2 linked regions of the Nothobranchius furzeri genome follow. Each later gene encodes a partner of the first gene's protein in a complex. Links are inferred from orthologs where the notes say so. Each region holds a gene or a part of one and is shown in the gene's direction. Other genes may lie near its edges. The genes, in order: metal transporter CNNM3 and ptp4a3a.

Region 1 (4,349 bases):
CTAAAAGACACCTGAGATGGTGAGAAATAAGATTATCTGGTCTAATGAGACAAAGATAGAACGTTTTGGCCTTAATTCTAAGTGTTGTGTGTGGGGAAGCCCAAGCACTGCTCATCACTTGTCCAATAGTCTCCACAGCGAAGCATGGCGGTGGCAGCATCATGGGGGGAGGGGTTAAAATGATAAATGACCCGCACTTGTATAGCGCCCCTCAGAGTAAGGACTCCAAAGCGCTTTACACTACAGTGTAAAGCGCTTTGGAGTCCTTACAGGTTCCCTGCAACTGAACCTGGATTCAGGTTCAGTTGCAGGGACAGGATGACTGGTTGCAATCAAGGGAACAATGAATGAGGCCAAGTACAGGAATATCCTGGACGAGAATCTTCTCCAGAGTGCTCAGGGACCTCAAATTGGGGTTAGGTTTACCTTCCAACCTGACAATGGCCCTGAGCACACAGCTAAAATAACAAAGGAATGGCATCACGACAACTTTGTGTGGCTGTTCTTGAATGGCCAAGTCAATATGGGGTGTGTGTACATTAATGAGGAATTAAATGAATTTAATTGATTTTAGCAAATGCCTGCAAAATAACAAAGAGTGGAAAATTGACGGGGGTCTGAATACTTTCTGTACCCACGGTATATGTGGGCCCAATAATGAAGAAATTATTTGGTCGAGTATATCTTCCATTCATAAATGACTTGTGCTGGATCCCATACTGCCCGCCCTTCAACTCACTCACAGATATTGTCAAAATCTGCCAGACTGTTTCATAATTTTTAAGATGTTGTCCTTCTTAACCAGTTCTAATGCTGCCAGGAATGCCTGGTAGCCATTATTTACATTTTTTAAACCAATGGCGAATTGTAAATATCCCAAGACTGGTTTATGGTGGCCTGAGGAAACAAAGAATAAAACAGGAGAATTGAAAGCGTGTGTTATTCAAGCCATGTTGCTGTCTGTTGTCAGCACTAATAGATAACTTTATTCTGTAAAGCACTAGGATGATAAAAACATGGCATACATCTAATTGAATTTGTAACTCATTAGCAATCGATTTCAGACGGACATGGAAAAGGTAAACCTATTTATGAGCTCTGAATAAACGTTAAAAGGCAAACAAAGCGCCTTCGTCAGCCACAGTCATGAGGGGCTTGTTTCGATGAATGTTAACAAAGATGGGCGTGAACTCATCGCTGCGAACTCTCACAGCCAACGGGCGGCGTGTTGAAAACAAAAACATTCAGAATCCAGCTCCAAAATGACCGCTCATCTCCCGACTCCTCCCGTCTTCAGCTTGGGTGGCTTGAGCCAAAATGTCCGCCCCCGGTGCGCAGCTTCATGAGTTCTCCAGGTGGGCGGGGCCGCCAAGCAAGAGTCACGTGACCCGCGCAGAGCAAGGCTGACTATCTCCAATATGGTGGCCAGCTTGGCAGGTCTACGGGTTCTGTGGATGATAATAGTGTTGCTCTGCGGGATTAGAGACAGCGCCTGCGGCCAAGAAGTTCCGCAGGTTGTGGGGCTGCGACTGGAGGACCCGGAAGAGCTGGTGTGCATGAAGGACCGGATTATCTCAGCGCCAGAAGGAGCCACGTTCAAGCTCCGTCTCTTTGGGGCTAACCTGAATGGAAGCTGGCCGAAAGTCGCGTTCGCTGAGGCGGCTGACGGAGCCACGGGGGCGGTCGGTGATGCCCCCGACCCGTGCGAAGACGAGTCCAGCCGTCTGGAGTCCGCCTTCCAGGTGACGAAGGACTTCATCCCGGACGAGGAGTTCAGCGGACTGCTGACTGTGGAGGTGAAGGGCAGCGGGCGCAGCCTCCACCACCTGTGTGCGCTGAGCGGGGGCAGGTGGGCTTCTGTTGGCCCGGACAGACTCCGGATCAGTCCCGAGGAGAGTCCCGGAGCAGACTACATCCCGCCGTGGGGTCTGGCCCTCCTGGTGGTGCTGCTGCTGCTGATGTGCGGAGTGTTCCGGACGGTGAACCTGAGCCTGCTGTGGCTGGACCCGGTGGAGCTTTACGTGCTCCACAGCTGCGGGTCCGAGGAGGAGAAACGAGCCGCCAAGCGCCTGGAGCCCGTCAGGAGAAGAGGGAACTTCCTGGTGAGTTTCTGAGCCCAGCAGGTCGGGAAGGCAGCTTTGTGTCCGTGTTCCCACCATTCCTGTTTCCGTCCAGACCTGTTCGCTGCTGTTCCTGTGCGCGTTGGGACACTCGGTCCTGGGGGTGCTGCTGTACAAGGCGCTGGGGTGCATCGTCTCCGCGGTCTTTACCAGCGGATTCCTCATCTTCTTCCTGGCTGAGCTGGCTCCTCACATCCTGTGCTCCGACTACGGCTTTCAGATGGCGCCCGCGCTCACCTGGCTGGCCCAGGTGTGCATGATTCTCACCTGCCCTCTGTCCTGCCCTTTGGGGCTGATCCTGGACCTGGGCCTGGGAAGGGACATCAGCACCTGTGGGATAAGGCAGAGAGCCATGGAGATGATCCGAGCCAGTGTCAACGACCCATACAGGTAAAATAACTTTGTTGGTAAACATAAGGATCTAAAATAAGGGTTTGAATCATCCGGAGAAGAACTGATCTGAGAGGCTAAAACAGGACTTGGTCTAAGTTCCTTTCAGACACCTTCAGTTTGATCTGTGACTTTGTCTGATGGCTTAAAAACTATAAGTATAATTTTTTAAATAAAAACATGCAAAAATGTTATTATTGTGATACTGCAGAAGTATCCAGACCCCTTGAACTTTGACACATTTTAGTTTAGTTTAGTTTATTTCAAACAAAGAAAATGTACATAATTTTTTAAAAAGTACCACAAACAGAAAAAATACATATCATCCCATCTGTGTTTGAAAAGGAGTAGGCTGAAGTGGAAACTTATATATCCCTACCCCTTTATACAAGTCATTTTTACTTGTTTACTTAAATCTAACACAAAACCTACATTAAAACAAACAATTTACAACCACACTTTACTGAGATTTTCTGTGATAGAAGACAACGTAGCACACAATTGTGAAGTGGAATTAAGCTGATTCAAGGTTAACCAAACAGAAACCTGAAATTGTGCACCATTCTGCGTCTAAAGAGACTTACGGTTTTAAACAGACATGCATGTTTTTGGTCTGTGGGAAGGAAACTAGGAAAACTGGAGAAAATTCATGGATGCATGTAGCAAAGCATAACTTCATGCAGAAAGGCTGCTGCTGGGATTAAACCTGCAACCTTCTTGCTCTGACACAACAGTGTTACCAACTGCAACACCATGCAGTCTCAAAGACTTTGATATAGTGGTCTTGGAAATAAAAATGAAGAGAATAAACAAAAAAAAACCAACCTTGAAGCTTGGAGTTTGAAATCTTTGTGCAAAGACTTAAGTCCTGACCTTTCCGTGGACTCAGTCCAGAGTCCAGACAACTAGTAAGTAAATTTTATTTGTATAGCACTTATCACAGACATAGAATCACAAAGTGCGTCACATAGATCAAAACAAAACAAAGTCATCAAATCATAATGATCTCAAAACAGAAATAGATTAACATCAGAAAAAATAAAGTCGTAAACTAAACACTCTAACGTTGTCTGTTGTCTTTGTGTGCTTGTGTGTGCAGTGAGTTTGTGAAGGAGGAGTTCAGCCGTGGGATGCTGCGTACAAAGACAGTGGAGGACATCCTGACTCCTCTGAAGGACTGCTTCATGCTGCAGAGCTCAGCTGTTCTCGACTTTTCCACCATGTCGGAGATCATGCAGAGCGGGTACACCCGGGTGCCCATCTACGAAGAGGAGAGGTGGGAGCAACAGCACAGGGATATGTCTTATTATTACGCTAATGTTTTTATTTGAGTTCATCGTGTTGCAACATGCAGTGCAAAAAGTCAAGTCAGAAAGAATTTGAGCAAAGGGTTTGCATGTTTGGGGATGTTAGATCGGACTTTTTTTATACCTTTTAATCAAATGAAAACCCTAATTTTTACATATTCCTATTATTCACGTTACAGTTTTACATATAAGAAAACAGTTTACTTCTAATCAGCTTCATCATTTTCTCATATTTTAGTTCTGACTGGTGAGCAGGCTGGTTTGAGATGTAAACAAACATAAGTGCTGGGATCCAAACACCAGGGGGCGCTGTAGCAGACGTTACATCTGTGTGATCAGGCTGCTTTCAGCAACTAAAAATACTTTCTGCATCATGTTAAAGATAAAGATGCAAAGCAAGAGGAGTCGTAGGCAGACACTGATTTTGGTTGTTTTCTCCATCTCCTCCACAGGAGATAACCTGCTGCTGCAAAAATAAATCAGTAAATAAGAAGAGCTTGTGATTACACTGACATTACAGATGGTTTGGCTA
Region 2 (4,546 bases), on another chromosome or scaffold:
AGGAGAGATGTTCAAATATCAGGAAACAAGAGCTCAAATCCTGCCATCTGAAGCTACTTTCTCCTCCAGCGGACTTGTACTTCCTGATTCAGGAGCACTGAATGACTTCCAAGGTATTCATTCTTACTAGAGACCACTGCAAATGTATTGATTAAACAAGTATTTTTAACACTTCTGATTCAGTTACAATAAAGTTCAGACCTTCATGACGACGGTGGCACAGGAGTTAAGTGCTCGCCCTGTAATCGGAAGGTTGCAGGTTGGAGTCCCGCTCAGTCTGTCGCTGTCATTGTGTCCTTGGGCAAGACACTTAACCCACGTTGCCTGCTGGTGGTGGTCGGAGGGACCGGTGGCGCCAGTGCTCGGCAGCCTCCCCTCTGTCAGTGCGCCCCAGGGCAGCTGTGGCTACATCGTAGCTCATCACCACCAGTGTGTGAATGTGTGTGTGAATGGATGAATGACTGATTGTGTTGAAAAGCGCCTTGGGGGGTTCCAGGACTCTAGAACAGGGGTGTCAAATGTGCGGCCCGCGGGCCGATTCCGGCCCGCAAGTGGGTTAAATACGGCCCGCAAGATGGTTGTGTAAACTTTATTTTCATACTTTACAATGTAGAGTGAAAATAAACTCATCTTTGTGAGCAAGTTTTCTCTTTAATGAGTATAAATAAAACAAAGCTGCGCTCAAGGCTCGCACAAGAACTTGAATCACAACCTGAAGTTGGCCGCCACTCAGGATGTGACTTCTGATATTGATGTGCTGGTGAAAGCTAAAAGATGTAAAGTAAAATGAGTCAAATATACTTTAAGTGCTGCATGAAACTGATCTAGCCTTGTGATCTGTAAGCTCTTTGAATCACGAATGTTTTTTTATTGATTGATTTTTGATTTTTTTTCAAATTTTCAAGTACACTTCAGGTGTTGTACTATTTTGGATACACTGTCCAGCCTTGTTTTATATTCTTAGGTGTGTTCTTGCTGTGTCTTTGTAAATCCATGCTTTCGTTCTTTTTTAAACACAGAAGCTGCCCGCAGATAAACGGAGAAGGAAGTGACGCGCCACCATCAGCGTCAGCCTGAAGAAGCCGGCAGCTGTCGGCGAAACCGTAGCTACAAACAGTTAAACAAAACTGTTTCTGTGTTTAAAAAAGAACGAAAGCATGGACTTGTTTTATATTGATTGTATTAAAACAAGGAAAACAATCTGAAGTTGTTTTTAATTTACCGGTCCGGCCCACTTGGGACTAGATTTCCCTCAATGTGGCCCCTTAGCTAACATGAGTTTGACACCCCTGCTCTAGAAGGTGCTATATCAAATACAGACCATTTACCATTCTGAAGAAATAACCACAAGGTCAGAAATACAAAGTGATGTAAAATGTTCTAAAATCCACTTTACCATTTTTTAAAATGAGAGTCGTTTTAGAACAACAAAAATCTGTGCTCTCGTTCTCTCTGTGACTCGTCGTGAGCTCATCTGTTTAGACAGAACTAATCCCTAATTCTACAAACATTTTGTACAAAGATCTTTCTACAACAGGTCTGAATGTAGCTGTTCCCCAGCCACGTCAACACTTTCCTTCAGGACGAGGAGCATTTATGTTACAGAACGTTATCATCTCTCCAAGAGCATTAACTCTGGTTGGTTCTGGTGGTGACGGGACCGTCAGGATCAGATGGCCGCTTAGCCTGATTAAACCAGCTCACAGCAGATCCTCAGCACACTGCTGAGGTGGAGCTACAAACAGGCACATGCAGCGCCGAGCAGGACAGAAGGACACAGAGGACAGCTGAATGTTGTAGAGGGACGAAGCTACAAGTTTCTGCAGGAAGACTTACCCTCCCTGCAGTTGGACTAAGGAACACCTCAGCCACTTGTTGCAGAAGGACTAAAACTATAAGCAGAATTTCATTGAGGCAGAGAGCCAAACATTTCTAAACCTATTTCTGCATTAGGAGAGACCCCTCAGGAACTAAAAGGTACAGTTTGTTTGACTCATTGCTGCCGTTTCATGAAAAAGCTGTAAAATTTGTTGTGGCACTTGAAGAATGTCGAAAAAAGCAAGAATTCCAATGAATGGTTTCTTGGATTGTTATTGAGCTTAAGAAACTCTCTGGAATGCCTCAAACACTAGATGTGCTGTACAATCACCCGCTGGTACAGATGGAGCTATAAATACAGCTGTGGGTGTTTAGGAGGTTTACTATAACAGGCAGTCAGCTGGTCGGATGTCAGCTCCCAAACGTCGGTGCAGCTGCTGAGGCTCCTGCAGAACTCTTGTGTTTTTGTGGACTTGCCTGAGCTGAAGCTGGGAGGTGAGAGAAGTGAGAGTTACATATTTAATTTGAGTGACCTGGATGATTCACTCTGCCGCCGCAGCTGTTTTGGGCACTAGAGGTAAGTGTGGGATTTATGCTGCTGTTGCACCTTGTTGTTAAGAGCAGCGTGCCTCAGTCTGACTTACGATGCTGCCACGCACTGGCACAACAGCTGGCCTTCGGGTCTTTTGGGTTCTGACCTCACCTCACATCAACGGAAAAGACTGTCTTGTCTTAAAACAAAATAAAGAGTCACGCTCTTACGTACACGGCGTGCTTTAGATGTCTTCTAGTTGTGTAGGACTGCTTCTCACACCGTCTCCTCACAAACAGATAAATATTGTTAGTTTTAACGTTTCTAATTGACTCTGTGTAAAACAAGCTACCTCCACCCTGACTATTATTAACAGCAAGAGATAAATTCCTAATTATAGATCGTCAACATCCTATTTTGGTTCTGGTAGAGTGTTATAGGTGAGGACAGATTACCTCCAGGGCTTTTCCTGGTAATATTTCTGAGTGTTTAGGGAGGGAGCAGAAGGTTACACCTAACTCAGAATGTTACCTTTCTATTGCTCAACGCCCCCCTCATTAGACAAAATAATCACCCTGTCTGGGTCGTTTAACAGGGAACGTTTATCAGCAGAACTGAACTTTTCTATCGTTTAATCTATTAGCAGTGCTGATTCGTCACATTTAGAGAGATTTTGTGTAATGAGAGACGGGTTGGAGATGTATGTAGATGATTTTTTTTATTTTATAAATCCAGGGAATTTAAAAGCATTTTATTCCTTATAAATTTGGCAGAAAATCACGTTTTCTTTTTCTTTACTCCTGATCAACAACCCAAGTAAATATAAACAAACAGCCCATTTAAGATGAAAACAGAAGAAATATCATCAATACTCAGAATCGGTGACAAATAGGAACAACAACGATGAAGGTAACAAAATGGAAGCTAAATGGAAATCAAAAACAATTTCCTTTTATAATAACTTTCTGTATTCAGACCCATTCGCTGGTTCCTTTCTGGTTCGATAAGTGATCCTCTTTCTGAGTTTTGTTTATTGTTGTTATTGTTAATTAACAAATTTAAGCCATTTGCATCAGTTACATGACTGGTTTGTTGCACAAGTCAAAGGCAGTCAAAAGGTCAGAGGAGGTACGACTTGTTTCTATAAAGATGCCACAATCCATCTCCTCGTTCAGGAGAGCCATCTCTGGTGACGAACGTGCACGATGAGTCATTTATTTATGTATGGTTAAAAAGATTTGACATTCATGTGATCTAAACATCCAGGATTTATAGGATTTGCCTGCTACGTTGTAGCATATTTGAATAATAATGGTGATTTGTGTGTGTGTGTGTGTGTGTGTGTGTGTGCGTGCGTGCGTGCGTGCGTGTGTGTGTGTGTGTGTTTTGTATTCCAGAACTGCCGGTTGATGGAGTTTGTGAGGCAGAGTGGTGACTATTGCCACGCTCAACACCTTTAGACCGTGTTGGGATGACACAGCGGCATGCAGTCCTGGGGCCATGAACCTTGAAAGATCACGGCCCTTTGCCTTATGAACCCATCAGCTCATGGGGTCACAAGTGGAGCCTCAACACCCAAAGCTAGCTGGAGTGAAAAGGAGAGAGAAAAAGTCACCGAGGACAACAAAGAAAGACAGGATTAGTGACAATAGCAGAGGGGATCACTAAACTGACAGCGAGTAGCCACATGGACTATAGAAAACTGTCATCAGATAGGAGAGCAGCCCAGAGCCTCAGAGCTGGGGACACACAGTAAATAGTTGCTACGAGGAAGAAGTCTTGATTCATCTGAAGATCTGATCTTCAGCCAGACTGCTACAGCTGGAGCTAAAGGTGAGGATGCGCCGCATCTGGGATGACTGATGTGATGCTCCAACAAGAGGGTTCTGCAGGGGTGTTTGTAGATTTCACACCAGATTCAGAAAGCTCCCGTCTAAAGGCTCTTAGATTAGTCTAAGTGCTGCAAAGCGATGACTTGGATTTGCTGGGAAGAATGAAACTGTGACACGGAGATATGTCTCCTTTCTGATAAAATGCACACGTCTTGGCATTAAATAACAAAATTATTCAGAATAAGTGTTTCAATTCTAAGATACTTTATTAATCCCAGAGGGAAATTAGAGTTTCAGTACACACAATTCAGAGATCAGACATACATGGGCAAAGACACATGACAAGAATTGGTGACTGTGGTCA

What was found.
Region 2: the proteins of metal transporter CNNM3 (region 1) and ptp4a3a are in contact, whole or in part, in a crystal structure (PDB 5TSR), measured with the Homo sapiens proteins. The link is inferred for Nothobranchius furzeri from reciprocal best matches to the Homo sapiens genes CNNM3 and PTP4A3. Residues at the interface, in NP_060093.3 of Homo sapiens: Ser357, Asn358, Phe394, Asp396, Lys418, Val419, Asn421, Glu424, Gly425, Asp426, Pro427, Phe428, Tyr429; in NP_001425170.1 of Homo sapiens: Asn5, Pro7, Asp72, Gly73, Ala74, Val105, Ala106, Leu108, Gly109, Arg110, Arg137, Arg138, Gly139, Ala140, Ile141, Asn142, Lys144, Gln145.

Annotation. Positions count from the first base shown.
Region 1 is NC_091746.1:39,506,130-39,510,478, forward strand, and holds the start of metal transporter CNNM3, read left to right. Parts: upstream 1-1,317; 5' UTR 1,318-1,418; coding exon 1,419-2,102; intron 2,103-2,175; coding exon 2,176-2,510; intron 2,511-3,609; coding exon 3,610-3,786; intron 3,787-4,349. UniProt on the Homo sapiens protein: Probable metal transporter.
Region 2 is NC_091745.1:41,275,784-41,280,329, forward strand, and holds the start of ptp4a3a (protein tyrosine phosphatase type IVA 3), read left to right. Parts: upstream 1-1,720; 5' UTR 1,721-1,977; intron 1,978-2,207; exon of another isoform or gene 2,208-2,395; intron 2,396-3,747; 5' UTR 3,748-4,183; intron 4,184-4,546. UniProt on the Homo sapiens protein: Protein tyrosine phosphatase which stimulates progression from G1 into S phase during mitosis. Enhances cell proliferation, cell motility and invasive activity, and promotes cancer metastasis.